Caenorhabditis elegans: one gene and its partners. The protein of the gene in region 1 interacts with the protein of each later gene in a pairwise test. Each region holds a gene or a part of one and is shown in the gene's direction. Other genes may lie near its edges. The genes, in order: let-607, clc-1, unc-57 and mom-1.

Evidence for each region.
Region 2: the proteins of let-607 (region 1) and clc-1 interact in a two-hybrid assay, tested with the Caenorhabditis elegans proteins (one large-scale study listed by BioGRID).
Region 3: the proteins of let-607 (region 1) and unc-57 interact in a two-hybrid assay, tested with the Caenorhabditis elegans proteins (one large-scale study listed by BioGRID).
Region 4: the proteins of let-607 (region 1) and mom-1 interact in a two-hybrid assay, tested with the Caenorhabditis elegans proteins (one large-scale study listed by BioGRID).

What each region holds. Positions count from the first base shown.
Region 1 is NC_003279.8:6,571,865-6,577,181, forward strand, and holds the start of let-607 (CREB-H transcription factor homolog let-607), read left to right. Parts: upstream 1-2,139; 5' UTR 2,140-2,214; intron 2,215-5,317. Other genes in the region: ipgm-1 (2,3-bisphosphoglycerate-independent phosphoglycerate mutase), read left to right, coding at 1-337, 456-566. UniProt on the Caenorhabditis elegans protein: Probable transcription factor, required during migration of the gonadal distal tip cells (DTC). Probably regulates cell adhesion of DTCs via modulation of expression of genes involved in integrin-mediated adhesion, including tln-1, src-1, and integrin pat-2.
Region 2 is NC_003284.9:11,045,674-11,050,003, forward strand, and holds clc-1 (Claudin), read left to right. Parts: upstream 1-1,772; 5' UTR 1,773-1,936; intron 1,937-2,562; 5' UTR 2,563-2,569; coding exon 2,570-2,657; intron 2,658-2,708; coding exon 2,709-2,833; intron 2,834-2,878; coding exon 2,879-2,970; intron 2,971-3,017; coding exon 3,018-3,159; intron 3,160-3,395; coding exon 3,396-3,497; 3' UTR 3,498-3,602; downstream 3,603-4,330.
Region 3 is NC_003279.8:4,673,163-4,680,272, forward strand, and holds unc-57 (Endophilin-A homolog), read left to right. Parts: upstream 1-1,972; 5' UTR 1,973-1,976; coding exon 1,977-2,312; intron 2,313-2,585; coding exon 2,586-2,714; intron 2,715-2,762; coding exon 2,763-2,915; intron 2,916-3,296; coding exon 3,297-3,484; intron 3,485-4,507; coding exon 4,508-4,562; intron 4,563-5,405; coding exon 5,406-5,690; 3' UTR 5,691-6,245; downstream 6,246-7,110. Other genes in the region: T04D1.2 (F-box domain-containing protein), read left to right, coding at 6,509-6,601, 6,651-6,730. UniProt on the Caenorhabditis elegans protein: Involved in synaptic vesicle (SV) recycling in neurons probably by regulating clathrin-mediated endocytosis. By controlling SV endocytosis, regulates the rate of excitatory postsynaptic currents (EPSCs) at neuromuscular junctions and thus locomotion.
Region 4 is NC_003284.9:6,291,152-6,299,202, forward strand, and holds mom-1 (Protein-serine O-palmitoleoyltransferase porcupine), read left to right. Parts: upstream 1-1,960; 5' UTR 1,961-1,975; coding exon 1,976-2,123; intron 2,124-3,125; coding exon 3,126-3,315; intron 3,316-3,379; coding exon 3,380-3,629; intron 3,630-4,063; coding exon 4,064-4,238; intron 4,239-4,287; coding exon 4,288-4,410; intron 4,411-4,944; coding exon 4,945-5,085; intron 5,086-5,241; coding exon 5,242-5,342; intron 5,343-6,641; coding exon 6,642-6,842; 3' UTR 6,843-7,154; downstream 7,155-8,051. Other genes in the region: Protein lev-9, read right to left, coding at 1-130, 196-376.

The sequences.
Region 1 (5,317 bases):
CGATCTTCAACCAGAAATGTCTGCGGCCGGCGTTGCTGACAAAATGATTGAACAACTCGAGGCTGGAACTCATCCATTCATTATGTGCAACTTTGCTCCACCAGATATGGTCGGGCATACGGGAGTCTATGAAGCTGCTGTCAAGGCCTGTGAAGCTACTGATATCGCAATCGGAAGAATCTATGAAGCAACTCAAAAGCACGGATACTCACTTATGGTTACTGCTGATCACGGAAATGCTGAAAAGATGAAGGCTCCAGATGGTGGAAAACACACTGCTCACACATGTTACCGTGTTCCACTCACTTTGAGCCATCCAGGATTCAAATTTGTCGATGTGAGTTTTTGTCAAACGTTTGAAATTTTTATTTAAAAAAAAACAGAAACCCATATGTTAAATGAAAATATTAATTTACAAACGGGTGTAAATAGCTATTCACTTCACACGTTTACAGCCAGCCGACCGTCATCCGGCCCTTTGTGATGTTGCTCCAACAGTTCTCGCTATTATGGGACTCCCTCAACCAGCTGAAATGACTGGGGTCTCGATTGTTCAGAAGATCTAGATTCAAGTACAATGATTTCAATATTCAAGTTCTATGAACTATATTTTCTACAGTATTCTTTTGTCCAATTTCTTCCCAATTACCTACTATTCAATTCTGTTTATAGTCTGAAAATTTTTATGTATTTAGATCCTTAAATTAGTATGAATAAAATTATATTGCACTGAGAAAATATTTCATTCATTACTATGACCTGTCGGATGACTCATATTCTATTTGCTATTTATGTTTTTTTTCTTGCTCCGGAATGAGCTCTGTAGTCAGTTGCTCAACATTTTTGAAGGGTCAATTGATGGTGACATTTGGCCAATAGACACACTGAGCACATCTGCGGAGCACTCTGACGGCTCGCAAAAGATTGATTTGATCGGACTTTTACTGGGACGAACTGAGAAAAACCATTGGTTTTCTCTGCGTCTCTTAATTTCTCAAACTCTCTTGATTTAGTATCTTATCGTTTCTTCTAATGCTCTCTCTGTGTGACATTTTTCATTATAGTTTCTCGAAAATTCTTTGGAGAAAATGTTGCTAGCATTTTGATGTCACTTTCGTTTGAAAACTCCAGAAACCTCGCCTTTTCCTTATCGTTTTTTAGCATCACTCAGTTAAAATGACCTATTTGTGCCACGAACCCAGTTTTATTGAGAAAAATCGAAATTACTAGGTGAAATTCTATTTTTCGTTGACTTTGAATACGTGTTTGATCGAATTTTGATGAAGCAAAAAACATGAAAATTACATGACCTTGCCCTAGATACGTGGCTACATGGCCTGACCTTTTAATTAACAGAAAATTTTAGGATTTTTTTAGGATTTAATCAGCAGATCATAGATTTTAAAGAATTACATCGTTTTTTAAATCTTCAGAATATTTTTCTGGTTTTTAAGTAAATGTACATTTTATAAACTTTACAAAGTGTAAATAAGAAAAATTATTTTGTTGAGAAAAAAATCGAGCATACAAAAATTGAGACCCGAAGAACTCGGGGGATGTCCTATTGGGGGGATTACCAACTCGGGGGATTGGCCCCGCCCACAGAACCGTGGCTTGCAATACGCCCATTTCTGCAACTGCCGCACGGTTTTAAAACTGTATTTTTCTCAATAGAGCGAGAATTAACAAGAAAAAATAATTTTAAAACCGTGCGGCAGTTGCAAAAATGGGCGTATTGCAAGCCACGGTTCTGTGGGCGGGGCCAATCCCCCGAGTTGGTAATCCCCCAATAGGACATCCCCCGAGTTCTTCGGGTCTCCAAAAATTCAGAAAACTATATGGAAAAGGAAAAAAGGCAATTGGACATAATAATTTTTATATCCTTCACAATTTTCTGAAACTCAGAGATTTATTCAAATGATTTTTTGTTGGTGTTTTCAGTGTCCACTTTGAAAAAAATTCCGCAAAAGTTTCCGCAAATTGTTTTTCTCGTGGCGAGACCCATCCGAAAAAATCCGTGCGCCTTTAGAAACGCATTACGGTACTTGTCGAGGCTTCTTTTTCAAATATTTACGTTGAATTTGTGTTTTCTTCGTTATTTTCAGATTAATATAATATTAATCCATTCAAATCTTTCAGAAACTTCCCCAAGCGGTCTTCTCATCTCAAAATTTGCCACGTGGCCACGCTCTCTTCTCCATAAATCTGAAGAAGGTGGGTTTTCAGTTAATGTTTATCTTTTAAAATTATTTAAATTTCCAACAAAAAAAAAACAAACGAAGTGACGTTGTTAATTCAAATGCTCGCGTCATTCCTCCACTAAAGAGTCCAGTATTCAGGACTTTCTCTCTTTTTTCCTCTTCTTCTTCAATTCTAGCTCTGTTTATGGAATAGCCGTTTTTAGCTGCTCTCCCCGTTTCGCTTTCTTTCCATCTTTTCGTTTCCTCAATCCAAATTATATTTTCACTTCCCTTTTCAGCTTCTTTTTCACTGTTTCTTTGCTGCTCGCTTCTGCATTCATTTCCGCCCACATTCAGTGAAAGAAAGCTCTTGACATTTATTTTAGTCAACGGATAGCAGCCAGTTTTGGGCTGAAAATGGATAATTTACACTAAATACTCGATAGCAAAAATTCAAAAAAAATTATGGAATTTCTGTCTTAAAAGGGATTCGTGAATTCTAGAACTATTTCGTATCGATCATAAATTTTATAAATCCCCTAAACTTTCGAATATCTGTACATAAATGTAATCCTTTCCGATTTTGTAAAACCGGTTTCCTGTGGTGAACGACTTGTTATTCTACAAGTTTTCTTAACTTATTCTCGAACCTTCTCCTTTCTTCTTCTTCTTCTCATTTTCCTTTCCGTCATCTTTCCCGCATTGAATAACAAGATCTACATACCGTTAGTGATTCCCTTTTTGTGTAGAAATACAAACGATTTACACGAACAAGGAAGTTTGTACCGAGAGAGAGAGAGGAACTTGGAATGGAAGAGAAACATTATTTCTCTCTTTTCACTTCCTAATAAGAGAATGAATATAATGACCAGAAAGCAGTAGAGAAGAAGCCAGAAGTGTGTGGACAAGCGGACGCGACGAGATTATAATTGATACGGTTTTCGAAGATGAAGTGACAGCGAAAAGAGGATGAAGCCCGGTTTCGGTGCGATAATGATGAGGAAAAAGTGAACGGATTTTGAAGATTTAGGAACTTTTATTTGAGAATATCACTTAAAAATGTTGAAAGATTTTGGAAATTCAGATTTTCTCGTTCCGGGGCCATAACTCGAAAAATTATGAAATATTGTGCGTTCTTTGTTGAAAAATTAATTTAGCCTTTCAATAGCTCAATTATGAAACATACATATATCTTCAATTTTAAAAACTATCCTCTATTTTCATTGAAATCCGATAGGAATGTCAGTAAATAAAATATCAGTTGAATAAAGCACGTGCTCATTAGACCGAAATGGCTCATCTCATTTTCCATCTCCATAGATAATCAAAACATTGTATTTGTTTGGTTTGAAGATTAATTCTTATTTATAAATATGATTTGAAAATAGGAGAAAATTTTATGTTTTTGAAGTGTGCTCACAACCGGAAAATCAAAAAAATTGTAATGACAACTAGGGTACGGTATCTATGAGTAATTTCCACGATTACCTCTTTGAAAGTATATGAAGCCAGTTAGTATTGTTGTTTTTCGAAAAAAATTTGCTGTTTCCCAGATTCCGTATAGTTTTTTTTCTTGTCACTCGTTTACATAATTACATCCACTCCTTTGGCTTCTTCTGCTTCAAGTTTCCATTCGTTTTTTGACATGTCTCAGTTTGAAGTATGAATTCTTTTTTCAATTGTTATTTATCCCGTTCTTCGTGTTGGCATTTCTTTTCTGAACATAACTGGAACTAGAGCGTGGATAGACTCACAATCTATTTAGATGATGTCCATAAAACACTTGGGATCTTTAACTTACACAAAATATATGTGCGTCAAAATATGAAAAAATAATAATATTTCCGGCTGATTCTCCGTTTTCCAATATTCCCGTCAATGGCCTGCGTTCTGTTCTGATTTTTTTCATGGCCAACAATAAAATATTTATTTTTCACTTTCCTCTCCATCTTTCTTTGCAATATAGTTATTCCTGTGGTTCTTTTCACTTTTTTCATAGAAAGTTCTGCGATGAAATTGGACGGTTTTGTTAGCTAAATTTCAATATTCTAGATCCACCAAAATACTCTATTTGCATATAATAAGTAGGATGTACGTACCTGTATAAATATCATTGCTCTCTTTCACAAAACCCGACAGTATCCATGAGTCATTTGCGTCTCTGTTATGAATGTATGGTATATGTATGAATTACGCACTATTCCTCTTTTTTCTGTGTTCTCTTGTCCGGCTAGCTGAAGTAGTAATAGTAGTACTTGACCAACAGTGAAAAGTGTGATCGACGAACGAATACCGTCATATTCTGGTTTTGTAGAGGTTTTTGGGAAATAGTGTTGGACGAAAACTTTCAATACATCCAAATTCGCATTGAATTGTCATTACTTCAATCGGTTTTTTCTTTTAATATTTTTGCCTGGAGTACCGTTTTTTAGCGTCAAGGCTATAATCTAGTTTTCATGCTGCTATATATATTTTTAAAACTATTTTGTACGTGGCCTTCGATAATTTCGGCTCATCTTTCACTGGTTCTCATGGCAGTTTATATTATTTGCGCGATCTGTTTGTGGGATTAGCGCACCTAAACGGATAACCCAAAGGTAATGTCGGCATGTCATCCGTCTCAATCAAAAGAAGCAAAAGAGATGGCGCAATAACCTTTCCGAGATTTGATTGGAGAAAAACGAATACAGTTTATCGCATTGCGGACGTCATGTCTCCGGGTAACCTGCTGGGTAATTGGAGGCGGCAAGTGTTCTTGAAATCTCAATTGATCTAGAGGGGATCAAAATGAAATTCTAGAGTAATCAAACAGATATGAGAACCACTTTATTACCATTCTTATTTTTTAGCGTTCTCTTTGCGGCCCACGTTAGATTAGTTGATAGAATATCTCACGAAAAGCCGATTCGAATTGGAACTTTGATTTCCTAGATGTCACCTAAACGACAGCAGTGTTCCTAATTCACACCCACCTTCTCAAAAGTCAAGACATTATGTCCTTGGAACATGGAACCTTAGACAAGTCCTTGGAAGTCTGAAGAAAACCACTTGTTTTTCTTATTGGTCCATCCCTATCTGACTGCTCAAGGTCTTTCTGGTACTTTACTACCGAATGTTACGTGCATCATTCTCCATAC
Region 2 (4,330 bases), on another chromosome or scaffold:
ACTAATCACTTGTTTTTTTCAATCAACTGTTGTTTGTAAACTTTCAGATCTTATAAAATATTTGCAATACTACTTCAATTGTTCAAATTAAGTTTTTTGAGGATATGTTCCAAGAAACTGTTTCTCTGTTTACTTTCATTCCTACTCATTTTTAGTTAGCAATTTGAGAACTTTGTATTAATGGAAACCCAAATCGAACAGATCTACTACATATGATATTTTCGTAATTTGAATTAGCAAAACTCTTTCAGTAGGGATTTATGGAAATTGGAACGTTCGAGAGAAACCAAGCTATGCTAAACCTTTAATTTTTGCCAAGTTGCTTCTATTGCTTATTTTTATAATTTTTTAAAATAATTTGGTCCAGTTTTCAGCGTTTTTTTGATAACTACAGAAATTTTCACTGTGAAATTCAATTTTTTGGTTTTATTTCAAGTCCATCAAAACAAACAAATCCACAATTAGTGTCGTGAACCCGTCGTGAACCCGTGTCGTGAGCATTCTCGATGTTCCAAGTTTCATACGTTTTTTGCAACATGCTGAAATAGACAACATTCTTCTTTTGTATTATAGATTGACATTGGTAGTCTTCAAACTCAAAAAAACCTAAAGGTGGAGTAGCGCTAGTAGGGAAAGAGTGAAAAACTATTCCTATGGTTCCAAAATGACCGAATAGCATAATAAAATGTTTCAAAATTTTTTTGAAAACTTTTTTTTTGTTTACTGTCAAAATGTGAAAATTACTCAGTTTTTGCAACTAATTTCGGAAGTCGACCAAAAAAAGTTTGTTCCTACATTTTTTATCATACTGTAACTTTGTTTTAACTATTTGTAATAGAATATTGTAGTAGTCGGAACATTCGACATAGTTATGGATTTCCTCAAAACTCACATTTTTTTCAAAATTTTGACAACTTGCCAAAACTTTGACCGGAAACTAGAAAACATCTAAAATTTGTTGGAGTTTTTTCTTATGATATTCGGTTGTTTTAGATCATTATAAGTGCATTTAGACGAAATCCCCACTGGTGCTACTCCACCTTTAAAGGTTCGGTTATTTCACATACCTGATACACTTTGAAAAATGTCAAGTCATAAATTCCGTTTATCATTATTGTTTTGGTTATTTAAAACATCAAATAACCTTCTAGTAAATATTATTGTTCAGGCATGTATGATAAAAATCTTGAACAATTTGCTAACGATCTGATTGGAAAATTAATTAGCTTTGATTTTCCAATCTTTACCAAAAAAAAACCAACAATTTAAAGTTATTATTATTTCCACGAAATAAAAATGTTTTCGAATTTTTTATATTTCCAGACGTAAAAAGAAAGTTAGCTGAAACCACCTGTTTCTTGCCAATAAATCAGTTTTTTTTTTAAATATTCACAAAAAAATCATTTGAAAGTTTGAAGCTTGTTTCAAAACATTTTGAGTGAAGCTTACTAAACAAAAGTTTTTGAAAAATGAAAACACGTCACTTTTGTGTTCGCATATACGTGATTCACCGTAAACTCCACTTTTGTAAAACTACGAAAGATACTGGCTGAAATGATAGGAAAATTCGTCGAAATATTTGAGCATCTGACTGTAAGTTGATAACGATTATACGAACTAATCACCGTTTCCATCTGCTCAAAACTCGCTGACTCACAAAGAATTTTAACAGAAATTAAGAAATGGCTCTATGTCAACTTTCAAAATTCTACAACGCCCAACTTGAGTTTCTTATCAACACTTTATTTTTTGGTCTATCTCTTGACTGAATCATACCGAAAACGGTTACATGACGTGTCGAGGAGTTCTACTGATACGAGCAAGCAAACGCTTTATTTCTCTCCACCTCTTTACTTTAAAACTAGCCTAACTCTTGTATATAACACACATTTTTCATATTTTCTATCAAGTTCACGCCGTCCCATCGACATTTAAGGTAAATATTTGAGTGTTCAATCTTATCTATGAAGCATTTTTTTCATTCCAGTTTGTGTGACATAGCACGTTGCCATTCCTTATTTCTTGAAAACTAGTTCGGGTTGTGAAATTTTCTTCCAAAATTGGTCCTTTAGTAATGTAACTTGATACATCAGGTTTTGTGAAAATATTTTGAATGCTTCAAACGACGTTTGTTGTTTTATTTTTCACTCTCCGAGTATCTAAAATCTATTCAAAAATTAAAAAAATCCGTTTTGACTTTTTGCATCTAGTTTTATCACTTCTTCCTGTGTCCCTCCCAAACTTTTACAGCCCAGTTGGCAATGGCGATAAGAAAAACACTGTTTCTGCCCACTTTGAGCATTTATTTCATCATTTTCATATTTTGGTTAAGATGTATAGTTGTCAAATGTGCAGGCTATTTTAGTATTTTGTGCTGTCGTCATTCTTACATTGAAGTGCATTCTCATTCCGTAACTAGGTGGTTGCATAGATGCCACCATGTGTTTGTCTGTCGTCAATAGAAATTTCCATATTTAGGAGAAATTGTTTTCATACTTTTTTAATACTTTTTGTCCGTCAATCTTCTGAAAAAAATATTAAAATTAAAACCATATGTTTCAGGTTCACAATGTGTCTTTCCGGACTCACCCAAATTCTCTATGGACTTATTATGGCTGGTAGTGCTATTTTAACAGCAGTTGCTTTGTTTACGCCAAGTATGTTTCATCTTTGGAGATGTTAGAAAAAGTGAATTTTCAAACTCTCAGGTTGGAATACTGTTGAAAATAATGTGAAAGATATAACTCATATCAACACATCTGAATGGAATGGCTTGATGCCTTGGTCATGTATTGGTCACTCTCAGGGAACCCAGTGTCAGGATTGGTGGGCGGTATGTTGATGAAATTATTTATATGCTCAAAAATACTGTTTTCAGAATCTTCCAGGATGGATGAAATGTGTCGTCGTCTGCATGATCCTCTCTTTGATTGTCCAAATTTTTGCAGTTGTCTACAACTTTTTGACATGGTTAGATTAGCGAAAGCCGACATTAATATAATTCAAACAACTTTCAGCCTTGCCTGCTGCTGCAAGAAATATATCATCCATCCACTCACCCTCTTTGCAGTCATCTCTACTATTCTTCTGCTCATCGCTGTTATTGTTTATGCAGCTGAATGGAATCAATTTACAAATGGAATTAATACAAACTCGCAGGTGAGAATGCTATTCTTAATGTGGGAAAAAGTGTAAAATTATTTGATTGAAACTATTAAACTTCACTAAAACTCTTTTTTTACACATGTTCTAACCCTTTAAAACCCGATTATAAAGCTTTGAGAAACCCTCCCTATCTCACATTGAACAACTTTTTGGCCAATCTGCACATACCCTAAGGCGCAAAAGCTGCTCATAAACCTTTGTTTGTACAAACTCACAACTTAATTTTTCAGCTTGGATACTCGTTTTGGCTTGCAGTTGGAGCCCTCATCTTATCTGCGGCGGATGTCATTTTGGGAGCACTAACAGTGTGTCTTGGGGAACACTGCTGTTAATTAAACTTGATTATATTTATTATTTCCCTGCATTTTCTGTGATATAAACTGCTCAGCCCAGACGTCGGCACCAATCTATTTGTTAAAGCTTTGTAAGATTTTGAACTTGGTTTTTCGCATTTAACGCCGAACTACACTGAAAAAGTGCAAACAAGACTGGCAAGATGGGGACGGCAAAAAATGTAACGGTTTTGTGTTTGTAAAAGGTCTTTTGAACTGTGGTAAGACATGTGAATATGTCTGTTCTTAGTGACACACTGACGTGTCACGAAGATCAGGAGCAATTTTTGTCGATTTTTTTCGACTTGTTGCTCCCAAGTTTGCGGCGTGGGAGGCATCACTACTGAGGCTCGGTCAAAGAACATAGTCAATTATTTCACAGTTTCTTAAGAATTTGAAAAACGCGCGCAGCGAGAAAGATCATTAGTTGAACTCGGAACATAATATGTTAGATGAAATGTAACAATGCCAAGTGTTTGAGCAAAAATTGAAAGATGTATTGTGCAACAAAGGTTGAAAAAGTGAGTCATTGTAAACATTTTGATAGAAGTAAAGATTGGTGAAAATCTTTAGATAGTGACATGAATTCTAAAAAGTTGTTTTTTCTGTGAAAGCAACTGACTGACAATTCAATATATGACTATATACAATATACATATTCCGCTTATTAAAAATGTGTTTTTATTTTATTTTGCACTATTTTTTTAAAATAAACATATTTAAAAATTTGTGTCAAATTAATAGTTTTTATTACAATCACTGAATTCACTTTTTCATGAACAAGACTTTAATTGATACATTAAGAGTTCAACGAAAAATAATTATGAAAACAT
Region 3 (7,110 bases), 1.9 Mb from region 1:
AAATTCAATAATGTAAAAAAAATGAACAAACATTTCTCAAGTTTTCAGTTTTCCATAAAAAATTATAAATTTATGTAAAATTATCGATTTTTAGACCAATTTTGAAGATTTTCTTTCGGGTTATCAAGTTTTCTTTACGAGAAAATGTCATAAATTTTTTTGCAAAATTGAAAAATCATTGGTTTTTTTTCTTGAAATTTAGAATAATTTTATAAATTTTTAAACACTTTTTTAAAATTCGACCATTATGCTCCATTTTCTAGCATTTTAAGCAACCCCGTCTTTAAAAAGCTGCATTTAAATTATATTTAGCTTTAAAACTCTTTTTATGCTAGGAAAGTGAAATTTCGTTAATCATTATCCAACAAATGCTCTCTGTCGGGATAAAATTTAACTTTTCCAATTGTTTTCCAGATTTTTCCAAGTAGCAACCCTTGAGTGTGCCCAATCATTATGCCTATCCACACACACAAACATTAAGTAGTGGGTAGGCTAGAGTCTTTCATGCACAAGCAAATATACACCGATTCGTCTTTTTTCCCTCTATCTGCCACATAGATAAAAGAAAGAATAACCTTCTCCTCCCCCACAACACCACCACCACTAACGGCGTCTTCTTCGTCTCAGTTTTCTTTGCTTTACGTAATCTACGTCTTCTATTTTTTCGGGGTGCTCTCTTCGGTTGGAACTATGTGTGAGAGTAGTGTGTTTCGTGTGTCTGTGTGAGTTTTTCCTCATCTTTCTCTCTCTTTTCGCGCGGAAAGAGGGCGCCCGAGGTCGGAGAAAAAAAATGAAAGGCAGAGAGGATGGAGGACACAGAGGAACGAAACGAAAATAACTGAATCGATACATCTGTGGGGTTGGCGGTGTTGAAGAGAAGAAGACGAAGAAGAAGATGAGGGGGTGGAGCTCTCCGTGCACAACGGCTTCTCCTCCCCCATCTTTCTCTCCCGTGCTTCTCCTTTTACTAGAGTCCGGCGTTGTGTTGTGTGTGTGTGTCCCCGCCTTTTTCCGGAATACGAAAGTAGGTCTAGTTAATGGTTAACTACCTCTCTTGCTCCGAAGCAGGCTTTTTCTTTAATTGCTTCTTGCAACTTTTCTGAAGCTCTACCTTTCTACTGGGAACTTGTTTTCTTTGAAATTTAGAGTTTTTAAAACTTCCTTCAGTTCTCATTCTCATGCTTTATAACCATAAAAGTGTACATCAGAATAAATCCTAGATCATAAGATCATTCACATTAGCATTTCTTTTTGGAATGCTTTTTCCGAGAAAACTGCACTTTTGAGGATTTTATCTTCGAACTGAAAATTCGAGTTGTACTTTTGAAAAAGTTTGTAGCGATCTACCTGATGTCAGTTTTATTTTAGATTTCCTGCACAGTTTCTTTCATGAATTTATAATGTTCAACCTTTAGTTCTCTCAGTTTTAAGGTTTAATGCAAAGTTTTACATACAGCCTGAGGGTCTGTGGATTTTTTTGTTTTAATTGATAGAAAATACCAGATTATACCTATGAAAAATAGTTTTTAAATTTCAAAATTTGATGAAAAATCCGAAAAAAGTGCCAAATTTTGCTTATAATCGAAATTTTTCTAGAAAACCGACCAAAATATACAATAAAGATAAATATTTTGATTAAAAAAAACTGTATTCCAACTGCTGAAACAAGGGTGGAAATTATTTTTACACTTTTTAATTTATTATTACAAAATCATTAGAATTTATAATTTTTCAACAGTTTTATCTGATCTTTAAGTGGTATTTTCTTTCATTTAAAATAAAAAATCCACAGGCGAAACTCCAAGAATTCAAGAAGCTCATTTTATCGAAACTTTCAAATCTTGCTCACCGTGATTCCCAAGTGTTTTAAATCTAAAGGAAAATAAGTCTGGTTTTTGAATATTTATTTTCAGTTGTTTTAATTATCAATTAATTAACATGTTATTCCGAATCTAAAACTCAAAATTTTCAGAAAAATGTCGTTGTCGGGGTTACGTAAGCAATTCAACAAGGCGAATCAATACCTTTCGGAGACGATGGGCGCCGCAGAGCCAACAAAACTTGACGATGTGTTCAATGAAATGGAGAAAAATGTGGATACAACGTATAATTTAATTACGGATCTCGTCGCCGGAACAAATGAATATCTTCAACCAAATCCAGCTACTCGAGCAAAAATGGCCACACAAGTTGCCCTGTCAAAAGTTCGTGGAACTACAAAAACGTCACCGTATCCACAAACAGAAGGAATGTTGGCTGACGTCATGCAGAAATATGGACAACAATTGGGTGATAACAGCGATTTGGGAAAGGTTTGCCATCCCTTTTGGAATTTTAATTTCTGAAAAAAAACCCATTTTTTAGCAACATTTGTCAATATTTGTTCTGTGAGCAATTTCTGAAAATGTGACCAAAATACAGCAAAAATAAAATTACTATTTATTTTGTTTATATTAATAATTTAATTGAAACATTAGGTTGATATTAGAAAACCACTACTTCGGTATTTTTTAGATTAAAATTTTTTGCACGGCTTCAAAATCTTCTTAATCATAATTTTAAATTACAATTTTTTTCAATTCCAGAGCCTAAACGATGCTGCAGAAACGTATCGACAAATGGCTGATATCAAGTATCAAATGGAGGATAATGTTAAACAAAACTTTCTCGATCCATTAACACATTTGCAGAATAATGAGCTGAAAGATGTGAATGTAAGCTTTTTTGCGTAAAAAAGGGTTTATTATTAATTCATTATTCAGCACCACCGCACAAAACTGAAAGGACGTCGACTTGACTACGACTGCAAAAAGCGTCAGCAACGACGTGATGATGAGATGATTCAGGCGGAGGAGAAGCTGGAAGAATCAAAGCGACTCGCTGAAATGTCAATGTTCAATGTGCTTAGTAATGATGTGAGTTTTACGATTTTTTTTTGGAAGTTTTTACTATTTTCCCCTATTAGACTTGCTATTTGACATCGGTTACCCTTAGTTTTATTTTTAAGAAGGATTATTCTCAAACTTACGAATATAACAAAAGAAAAACGGGAAAAATCCGTTAAGATTTCGAATTTTTATGTCAGAAAAATCAACGAAAAACCTTCAAAATTTAACTAGCGAAATCATAGGCCACGAGGATTGTTCGAATTTTGATCCTGTTCTATACTATGTTTTTAATCAGTATTTTATACAATTCCTTTCAATATAAGCTGTCAAAGTTTAATTTTTTTTTAATCTGCTGAAATTTTTTTCCACTTCCCCTTTTAGATATAATCACAAAAAAATTCTTTTCAGGTCGAGCAAATATCTCAACTACGAGCCCTCATTGAAGCCCAACTCGATTTCCACCGACAAACAGCCCAATGTCTCGAAAATCTACAGCAACAACTTGGCCATCGAATCAAAGATGCAGCTGCCAGGCCTCGTGAAGAGCATGTTCCATTATCAGTTCTTGCAAATGAGAGCAGAACTCCAAGATCCAGGTTGGTATAAGCATGAAGAGTGAGAAAATGCATGTTTGTTGTGAGATTTTGAACGCTCAAAAAGACCTAGTTTTTAAAAAACAGCTAATTTCTTGAGATGCACTTTTGAGATTCAGCTGAAATCTCCAATTTCGCCAACATTTTATTGAAATGGAGCTGCCCCAAAAAGCTGAATAAACTACCAAAAAAAATGTTGAATATTGGAGGATTAATTGAAATTTCGGGCCGCTGTGGCACGGAAAAATTGGCAAAATTGAAGTTTTTTAAAGCTAAATTTAGATTTTTGTTTTCTTCTCAAAACTTTGAAACGCCATGAAAATTGTACGAGAAGTTAGAATAGAATTAGTTATTTTTAAGAAATTTTGAATTTTGAGTACAGAGATTATTTCATAAATCTACCTGAAAATTAGTTTTTTCAAAAGATACGAAAAAATATATAAAGCCGGAACTAGGCGTTTTCCATTTTTGTTTTCGATTTAAAAAGGTCCCACGCATCATAAAAAGAGAAAACCCCCTGTGCTCTTAAGAAACGGAAAAAGCACTGAAGCATCATTCACAAGTAATAAAAAGGAGGAAAACATATGAAGCACAGACATAGACATGCAGAGTCTATGATTGATTACATCGCATTATGTCTTTTTACGGCCGGAGGAATACTTTTTTGGAAGGAATATGAATGTAAAAAGATCGTTTAATGACTGATTGACACGAAAATATTGAAAAATTGAAATGTTTTCGGTGTTTTTTAAGCTAGACTAGTTTAAGTTTTTTTGAAAGTTGAGAAATTTCAAAAAAAATTATTAAAAGAAACAACGTAAATTTTGATTTTTGATTATCTTTGAAAAAACCGAAAAATTGAAAATTATTCTACGACACAACCAAAAAAACATTCTAAATTTAATTTTAAAAAAATAAGAATTAAATTTCGTTACAGTACCCCCCGCTACAGTACTCCCTGATTCATATTGTGATTGATTTTTTATTTTTTGCATGCTAAAAGCCTCTTCCAAAACATCTCTTCAGTTTCAGATCGCCTGCTCCATCGGATATGAGTCACAATTCTACGGCAGCCGCAGCCGTACGTTTTTTTGTTTCAGAAAAAATTGAAAAAAGTGCGACTTTTCAACAAAAAAAACACGAATTTTGGAGATTCAGTTTTTCGGATTTCAATTACTGAAATTTTTTGGAAAATGGTATAATTTTAAAAAAACACTTGTAAAAAGACCGGAAAATGTTTAAAAAATGTTTTTGAAACATTTATTGAAAAATCAAACTTTTCAGATATTTTTCGAGACGAGAAAACTGAAAATTCTTGATTTTTCAGAAAGCCGAAATATTGATCAATTTTCTGGATAAAATTAACCAAATATTTCAATTTTTTAGTTTTTTCTCATAAAAAACATATAATTTTTCTTTAAAAAAACAGAAGTGTCTAAACTTTTAAAGAAATTTTTCGCAAAATCAATTTCTATTCGAACCGACAAAACTAAAAATTTAAAAACGAAAATTCCAGATTTTTCGGTTTTCCGGAAATCCTAAAAATCGGAAAAATATTGGGAAAATTGACAAAAAATTTCAAACTTTTAAAAATTTGGTTGATGAAAAAAAAAAGTCAATTTTCTTCTTAAAACGGGTAAATTTTCTCGAAAAAAAACTACAAATTAAAAAAAACCAATTTTCTAAAGTCGAATTTTTTGTTTGTTGAAAATAAGTTACTTTTATAAGAGAATTGTGTATTTTCCCATCAGCATAAAAAATTTGAAGATTGAATTTTTTAAATCAATTTTCTAAATCGAAACTATTCGTTTTTCAATTTTTATTTTAAAAAATCGAAAAAGCGATACCCTTGATTAGAATATTTTGTTTTTGAATAAAAACCTAGTAATTCAATTTTCAATCCAATTTCTAATATTATGTCCAGTTTAAGATGCCACCACAAAATGGAGGAGGAATAACACAAGCACCACCATCATATCAAGGACCTCCACCAGGTGGACTTCCACCTCCACTCTCCCAGCAGCAGAAGCCACAATGCAGAGCTCTATTCGATTTTGATGCTCAAAGTGAAGGAGAACTGGATTTCAAAGAAGGAACACTGATTGAGTTGGTATCACAAATTGATGAGAATTGGTACGAAGGACGTGTGAATGGAAAAACTGGATTATTCCCTGTTACCTATGTACAGGTTCTAGTGCCTCTTAAATAAAAAAAAATGTATTTCTCCCTCCAAAACCCAGTCAATTCTTTCCATTTTTTGCTGTTTTATTGCCAATTTCTCGTTTTCTCCCCAACTCCAAAGCCATGCTCCTCATCTTTGTCTCTTGAATTTTATTTCACAAAAATATTTTATTTCCCTTTCCAAATCTCACTTTTTCTCTAGGAACCCCTGAAAAGTACTCATTTAGAAGAGAATGGGCTATGGTCTCTATGAGGCTAAAATAGTTAATTCTCCTGATCCATTGTGCCGAAATCTTTGTATTTATTAAAACACTACTTGCTTTATATACATCCACTACTTTCCCCCAGTCTGCCACACCCGATGCGTTTTCCAATAGCAATACCCTGACCCACATTACCATGTATTCTATGTACTCTCTACACTACCAAAAATGTGCATTTATCAAATCTCCCTTAAAATAGCAGCATGTTATTAGTTTTTTTAGCTTTATTTAGTAACTTATTTTCAACATCAAAAAATTCATTGCAAAATTACTTATTTTCGTAATTACTTATTTTCGAGTATATGAATTTGATTTTAAACTATTTTTTTTTTGAACTCGGAGATGGAAAAAAGTCAAATTTCTTGTCTTATCAATTTTAAAATTGTTTAAAAAAAGAAGTGGATGAACAAGAAAATCAATAAAAAACTGAAATGAAAACGAAATTTCGAAATATCCGGAATATTATATTGTCCACGAGGAGTACTGTAAACAGACACCCAGTTATGTTATTAGTGACGTCATATACTTGCACCATCTGCTCTCATACCTGTGCACCATATATCTCATCGATTTTTTTTTGAACATGAAACGAATGCAACTATCATTTCGTCCATTTTCTTCACTATGGAATTCAAATCGAATTAAAAAAGGTAGAAGTTGTTCCAATCAGAAGAAGGTAAATTAAATTAATTTTTATTTGTTAGATCAAAAACTATAAGTTTCAGAAATGTAACTCTTTCAATCTACTCCAACTACCATACCTAGCATTTCGAATTGTTATTCATCAATTAAGTATTTTTTCAGTGTAAGTTATCCCGTGGTGTCAGACTGTCCCATTATGGTTTGATCTACAAAAAAGGCGGGATTTTTTTGCCCAAAAAATGTGACGTCAGCATTTTTTTAACCATGCGAACCAGCATGGGACAGCCTGACACCACGTGAGTTATTCCAACATTACATATCGTACACCCTTCAATGTTAGTTATAACATAAAATCACATAAAAATTACGGACAAATCGAGCGAGAGTGAGATCAACTACATTAAAAACGTTTTAATTTTAATTTTGGCTGAATTTTTTTTTAGAAAATCGCAGTTTTAATAGTTGTATTTTCAATTCTTTCTCGACGCTCTAGAGTATTTGAACAAAATCCCAATCTACAGTGTTACAAAAGCCAGTCTGAGA
Region 4 (8,051 bases), on another chromosome or scaffold:
CTTCTCTGACTGGCACCAACTAGTATATATCCCTTGTTGCATCCATATTCTGCATTTGATCCAAATCGCAAATCACCAGCAGTTCGTATAAATCCATTTTCAATATTTGGAAGTGGGTGGCACATTGCAACTGAATAAAAACAAAAAAGTTCATTTTTTATATTGCTCAATAGACAAGATATTTTTATCACTCACTTGGGTTCACACAGCTCAAGCCACATTCTCCGTCGCACATACATCTTTTGTTTCTTTTACAATCTTCGTCTGCTATACACTCTTTTTTGCAATGTTTCGGCCGTTGTGATAGAGTAACTTCCGGACAAGATAGGGCCGACGCGTAGGTAATGGAGATGGCGAGTAGTAGTAGAAATCGCATTTAATTCATGTGATTTGGTACTATGAAAATTTTAAAAGAGAAATCCGCTTGAGTTCTTGCAAGACGGCATTCTTTCACCAGCTGACACGCAATGTATTGATTGATTGGGGTCTTTTCAAGGGTTCCCATTGTAAAGTTGCTCGAGTATCATGCTTGTCTGATCAATTATTTGCTGCGGGACATTGTGGCAAATAGGAACTGACTGCTGAAAAATTAGAGGTGAAGGTATTTTGATGTGATTTTTGCGGTTTTCACAACTTTCACAGGGTTACAGAAAAATCTTTATTTTTTTATTTTATTTTTCTCCAAAATTTGAATTCAAAAAAGGGGAGAATTTTGAGAAATATCAGTGAAGAAATACAAGTTTATCGCAGGGGCGACAAATCATATTTTTTGGCAAACGTCCTATTTGGAAATCGCCTTTTAGGTTTGAATGATTGTGGAAGTTTGAGATTTTGCAAAAAAATTGGTAGACTGAAAAATATAAAAAAACAGGAAACAGGTTACAATTGTAAATGTTTTGCTTATGAAAAATCCCTTAAAAAGTATTTGGCAAATTGAGTTTAGTTTCGGCAGATGGCCGAAAATGAAAATTTCTGTCAAATCGCCGCACTTTTAGAACAATAATTAATGCTTGCTATTTCAGAACTGTTTCCCCATAGTTGAATTTTAAAAAAAGTGCAAAAAACATTCTCGAAATGGAATAAATTGGACAAGTGAAAAAATCATTTTGAAAAATAAAAAAATATCTGGAGGTATGGGGAATCGAACCCCAGACTTCTCGCATGCAAAGCGAGCGCTCTACCCCTGAGCTATACCCCCGTACGGCATTTGAGTAAGAGACGCAAGTGAATATACATACATTTTCTCTCTCACCCATTGACAAACTGGTTGCCTCCCCGCGAGGTGTTCCTGTGAAGCGGGGGGGGGGGGGGTGTTCTGCGAGTTGTTGGTTTGCTGTTGAGATGAAGAAAAATAGCTTCTCGCGGACGAGAAAGTGCAGCTAATTTCATTTTTTTTTTTTTGGAAAATGGTTTTTTATTGCTCTCTATTATTGAGAAAACAAGAGATGATCTTAAACATTATTTTTTGCAAAAACTGTTATCTTGTCTTTTTTCATTTTAAATATGTAATTTGTAATTTCATCACATATCTGTAAAATGAACTCATCAAACAATAGTGCTGACCGTTGTAAAAATGAACCGCAATCTCCGAAATAAAACTTTAATTCTTTTAGGGACACTCAAATCTTCCCCCAACAAAACTATACTTTTTTTGGTTCCATTTGTTTGATTTACCATGTTACGCTTAAATGTACTTCACTTGACCGATCCGACCATAAAACTTTGGTTGCATGTCCAAGGCACATCTGTTGTGTGTGACCTCTCCCCACATTCCGGCGTAGCCTCGTTTACATTTGTCCCCTTTTGTTAGACGCAAGAACTATGCAAATTCGCTCTATTTCACTCGTACAGACAGTTGTTTTTGTTTTGGTTTGAATTGGGTTTTCTGGGTTAATTCTAGGTTTTTTCTAGCTTTTTAGTTTTTTTGCCGTTTGGTAATCGTTAATATTTCATCAATTTCAAAAATTTTCAGAAAATGGATAATGGTCACGGGTATGAAGAATTCGAATTATTAGAAGATGGATCGCTTGGAGAGTGCTCGACACAAGTGGCAAATGCAACATTTCTCACAATTTCAAAGTTGATATGTTTGGTCGTTGCATTCAAATTCATCAAACATATACGTAAGTTTTGATAAAAATATAAACTGAGACAAAAATACCTAACAAAATGTTTTAAAAACTTTGTTTCAAACAAATTTGTTTCTAATTTGTTGTTATGTTCAAATTGGAAAACACATGTGCTTGCTTTATTAATCTTGCCAAAAAAAAAATGACTAAAATTTTCACAAAGTAAGACTGATCTAGCTAGAGATAAGAGCTCCATGGTGAGACGGTAGTCTTAAGTGGAGTAACGCCAGTGCGGAAATTGTTAAAAACGACTTCTATGGTGCAAAAATAGCCAACTATTATATTAGCACTTTACGAAACTTCTTATTTTGTTTCAATAAGTGGTAAAAACTCAGTTTCTGCATCCATCTTTAAAAGTTGTCTATTGAAAAAATTTCCTTTGAATTTTATGTTCTTGTTTCAAACATTAATATTTAAACATTGTAGGGATTCGAGCATGCGACAGTGCTATATTTATCTCGAATATTGGCGAAAACTCAAAAATTGCCACATTTTGACAGTCAGAAAAAAGGTTCTAAAATTTTTTGAAAAGTTTTAACATGATATCTGGTCATTTTAGCACCACAGATGTGGTTTTTACATCTGCATACTCTTTTAGTAGTGCGGTTTTATAAACTAATTAACTAATTACTATTAACTAATAATTAACTAAATTAATAAATAATTAACTAATTACTAATAAACTAATTAACAAACTAAATAATTAACAGAGTTTCCTACTGGATAGAAAATTTTATCCACAGAAAAATGTTTCATAATTTGATAACCGATGTTTCAAATTATGTATGTATTGAAAAACATACTAAACCTATTATTTTAGAAGGAAAACGTGAAAATTTCGAAACCAAGTCATTCATTCGTTCGGGAATTCAAAAGTTACTGAGTATTTTTATAGTTGCAAAATTTAAGAAATCATAGTAGTAAATCAGTTTTGTGTGATTTTTTCAAAAACTGGTCAATTTCAGTCTTTTAGCAAATTAATTCCCCTTTTTGTAGCAATTTCAACAACGGTTCGTGTCTATGTACATGTCTTCGCCAGTACTTTCACAGTTATGTGGTTTTCAAGAAATCACCTACAATCGGCTATCATTTACAACATGTTCAGTTTGATATCGCTTGCACTGGCCATCAAACAATTTAGTGGATACATCATTCTTGCAGGGAACATCTCTCTTCTGATTGCATTGTAAGTATTTTTTTTATAAGTCAAGCGTTTGTAAAATTTGTGGGACAAATTAAAAAATTTTTAGGCAAAACTTCTGCCGACACTACAGATCCGAAGACTACTTTTTGTCCATTCGTGGAATTTTGATGATCCATATAATGAGACTGACCACGGTTGCCTTCAATCTGGAAAAAGCGAATAGCAACAAATTCCGATTTGTTCAGTTTTCCAGTTATGTTGAGTACATTTACTTCCCACCGTTCATCATTTTCGGGCCCTATTTGAGTTTTGAGCAGTTTTTCAAAATGAGAGACAAAAAGTGGACAGGATCTGAGGTTTGTTGTGAAGTTTTGGGAACTAAGTCGTAAGACTATTAGTAAGTTCTAAGTGTCAAAGTGTTAAATACGTTTCAAAATTTTTAATCAGAAAATTTTAAACCATGGCTACAGTTTTGAATTTGATTTCAGAGTTGACCTTATAGGAGCGCTACTTTTGAATAAAAAGTGTAACATAACTACAAACCAGCCTCCGATTGCTGTAAAACAGAACTGTCAGCAAAATAGGAAACTTCAATTAAAATTTGGCAATTTTTTAAAAAGTTTCGAAACCCCTAAACGTTTTTAGCAATTTGTAAGAACTTCAATTATGACGTTTAGTTTTTCGGGGACTTTTGAAGAATAATAATAAAAAATTGACCCGTGAGTCCTCCTTCAATTAAAAACCCGAGATTTCATTGGTAATAATAAGAATAATATATCACTATTTTTAGAATGAGCTCGGCTTCATTATTCAGTCTCTCCTTGCAATCTTCAATGCGATCACTCTGGCAATCATATCTTCGTGTCATTTTGAATTCTTCGAACCTTCATCTCAATTTATGGAAGATGCTCTGACAGCTATGTCGTTCCGGTTCAGTCACTATTTTGTCTGTCTAAGCACTCAAGGTAGCCAAACATTCTTGTCTGTTGAAGATAAACTGACATGTTTTTTCAGCATTTGTGTTGATGTTAGGATCAGATGTAGTCGTTGCCAATCCATTGAATATTGAATTCTCCAGATCAACATTACAAACGGTCTCAGAATGGAACAAACCATTTCATACATTCCTGCATGAAAGTGAGTAAATTTATTTTAACAAATGATCGGAAGTGAATCTAATCAACATATAATACATGAAGTCATGTTCAAATACACTATTTTTTATTGACTTTGAAGAAATCTTCTACGTATTGTTATTTGATTAGGGTTTTCTTCCATAGTTCGTTGTTGGCATCGGACAACAACGGCCAATAGAGGGCAATCAGGTGACATCGGGCAATTAGCGGGTTGCAGCAGGCTATTGGGGTCGGGCAACAGTGGGATGTTGCGGGTGAATAGCGGGCCATCTAACCTCAAATTATTTGAAAAACGTCGCCCGTTATTTCTCACCTACTTGCCCGCTATCACCCGCTACTCACCCGATAGTCACCCGATAGTCACCTACTGATATTCCGCTACTTGTCCATTTTTGCCTCATTCACTGTTAATGCTTGCGTAAGATCTATAAAGCAGATTCATTTTAATTATTTGAAGAGCTTTTTTTTTTAATCAACAAACTTAAAATTGGAAACAAACGATACATTTCGTTTTTTCAGATATAATATTTTTCAGATATTTTCAAAAGGCGGTTGTTCAATTCCACTGCATGTAACGTTTTCTTCACGTTTGCAGTCAGCTCACTTTTGCACGGTCTTGACTTCCAAATGACCATTACACTATTGGCTCTTGGTTTTATTGCCTATTCGGAAACTGGTAAGTGAATTAAGAGATTTTGCGGTCAAATTGAGGTTGAATTTAAAGTAACTTTTATCTATGTTATATGGAAACAATACATGTAATTTTATATATTTCAAAAGTTACTGCAAAATGTCTCTACTCCACTTGTATAGTTTAAGATTTTTTTTTCAGTTTTCCGAAAACGACTTTCTGCCCGATACTCAATGTGTGTTGCTGCCAAAGCCTGCCCTGTCCGTTCAAACAGTCTTTCCTGCAAGCACAGACACTCAAACGTGAGTAATTATTTTAAGCGAAGGGACACCCAATCGATTGCCCATTTACATTTGGCGCAGGGGGTCACCATAGATAGGTATCGCGCAGGGAAGATTTACCGCCTTTCGCTTATTTAGTAGGGCACGCAAATTAGTATGCTTAACTGTTAGAAACACGATAAAACACGAATAAATTAACCACGGGCCCTTTTTTGGACACATTTGGAGTTTGCAAATATCGCATGGTTTATAAATTTAAGAATTTGCAAGAGTTGTCCAAAATAAATTGAGCTAACAATAATTTTGAACGTTATGAAACGTTATGATCAAAACATGACGTTATAAATAGTTTTTTGTCAGAAAGGGTATACGTTCCAAGTCAAAGTTTACTTTTCTGAATTTAGACTTTTTTGACTTGATATTATGATAACGTTTAATGTTTGTAATTTGAAACATACTTTGTTTTACTACTACATGTTCAGTGAGTTTCAAAAAATAACAACAAAATCATGATACTTGTTTCATTTTACGTTTTATTTTCATTCAAAGTAGCAATAGAATTTTGAATGAACAAACCCAGAAAAAAATCAAATTTCTAGGAAAAATCTACATATTTGGAATAAAACTAACTAGGCAATGGTCAAAACACTAAGTGGCCATTTAGCCCAAGACGTAGTTAAGATAAATATTAAAATGTAAAGAGAATATTAAAATCAAAAAAAAAATCTTGAAGATAACAGAATATTTTCAAAGCCTGAGTTATAACACATTTTTTAAAGTTAGGTTGTGTGGAAAAGTCTTCTTCGAAACTGCTTATTTCAATATGCTAATTTGAACTTTTAGAAAAAAAAACCATTGAAATGTAGGATATTGTTCGTTTAATTTAGAATTAACATTTACTTCTGTCTAAAATTTTTTAAAAAGACGTCGAATAGTGCATGTAAATTGTAGCTTACCAAAAACAAATTTTCAAAACAATTTAGCTGCATATGACAATTTTATGACACTTTTGAGACCTTTTTCGAACTGCAATTAGAAAATTTATTTTAGCTCTAACAAACGTTGTTCTACATTTCTAAAAGAATTTTTGATTCATATCGTTAGATTATGAGATATGGCTGTTTAATTTCAAAAGTTTCACATTGCCGGACACTAATTAAAACCAAATCCGAGCCACGCCACCAGGCTCATAATCACAGCTCATTTCTTGTATTGCTCCACACGTTTCATTCAAGTTTCCATTTGGTAAAATATCATGGTTTCTTTCCAAATTAATTCCTTTTTTGAAGGAAACACTAAAATTGTTAACTTATTTTACAGAAAACAGGACGTGCTTTGATCATCAATTTGTTCTTCCTTATGCTTTCCATGTACCATCTTGTGTTCACTGGAATGACGTTCACCGACGACTATTCTGCAATTGGCTATCCTTTTGATCACGCCTGGAAGATTTGGGGATCTCATTACTATTCGAGTTTCATGATTTCTTTCCTATTTCTTGCCCTGTCTAAAATAATCTGAGGTTTTGAAAAGCTGAAATTCAGTTGTCAACATTTTTCAACAAAACCGTTTTCTATGCTTTAGTTCTCAGTCCTGGCCATGTTCTCTTACGAGCTAAAACTAAAAATCTATTTTTTCTGTTTAATGACTCAAACTCGGTTAAGAATTTTTCTTTGCAATTGTTTTAGTTACGATCTTTTCATCCTATGAATTATTCATTCCGCGTTGTACAGAAGCATACATTTTGATTTGCAAAATGTATTTACTTGAAAGTTAATCACACTGTGAAACACATTAACATCCATGTGAAAATAATAAAAGAACACTTTGGTTTTACACTAGTTTGCTTAAAAAATATTAGAAGCGTTGAAATATAAACTTGCGTTGTAAGCACGAAAACGGTCAAATAACCAATTTTAAAAAGATGACAGGGAATGTGGCGTGTCATGAAATTGCATGTCTAAAATCAGGAGCAAAGAGTGAAAATTATTATCAAAATATCTCAACTTTTAGAAAACTGCAACAATCAGTAAGAATTCACATTCTTTCTCTATTAGCTAATAATTCATTTCAATTTCCAATTTACTCATGATAAAGGTCTAGACTTCTCACGTTTCTAGCCACATATACATTTTATGTAACGAAACAGTGACGGTCCATAAGTTGAAACCAACTGCAGTAACTCGTCGTTTGCGTGGCGACACCTATGCACGTAAGATCTGACAAAAATACTCCTCTCCAAGCGTCTACCAAATATCAAAATTAGTTTGGTAAATAAAATAAAAACCAAAAGAGTGTATGAGTTCGCGTCTTTTTCTGGGTAGTTGATAGCCAACATTAAAAAATGCCACGGCTTCTGAGAACCAACCGATTTTTTTTCTGGTTTAAAACTCAAAATCAAATTCAGCTATGAATTTTTAGTAACGATTGAATTCATGAAATATTATGTCACAAAATAATTATTTTTGATAATAAAACAGGAATATATGTTGTCTGTTGTTGTTAAACAAAGCACATGAAAAAGTTGATCTAAACTAAATAAATTAAGTTTTAAAGTGGTATTATACTTTTAATAAAAAATTGTTTAAAGTTAAAAAAAACATTTAATTTTTCAGATTTCAGTTGAACTGAATCTTTTTTCAACAACTTAAAACCAACCTAAAATTTCAGAGATGCAACTTAAATGGATAGTACGATCCTTTTTTCTTTAGTTTCGGGCAGTTACCGATC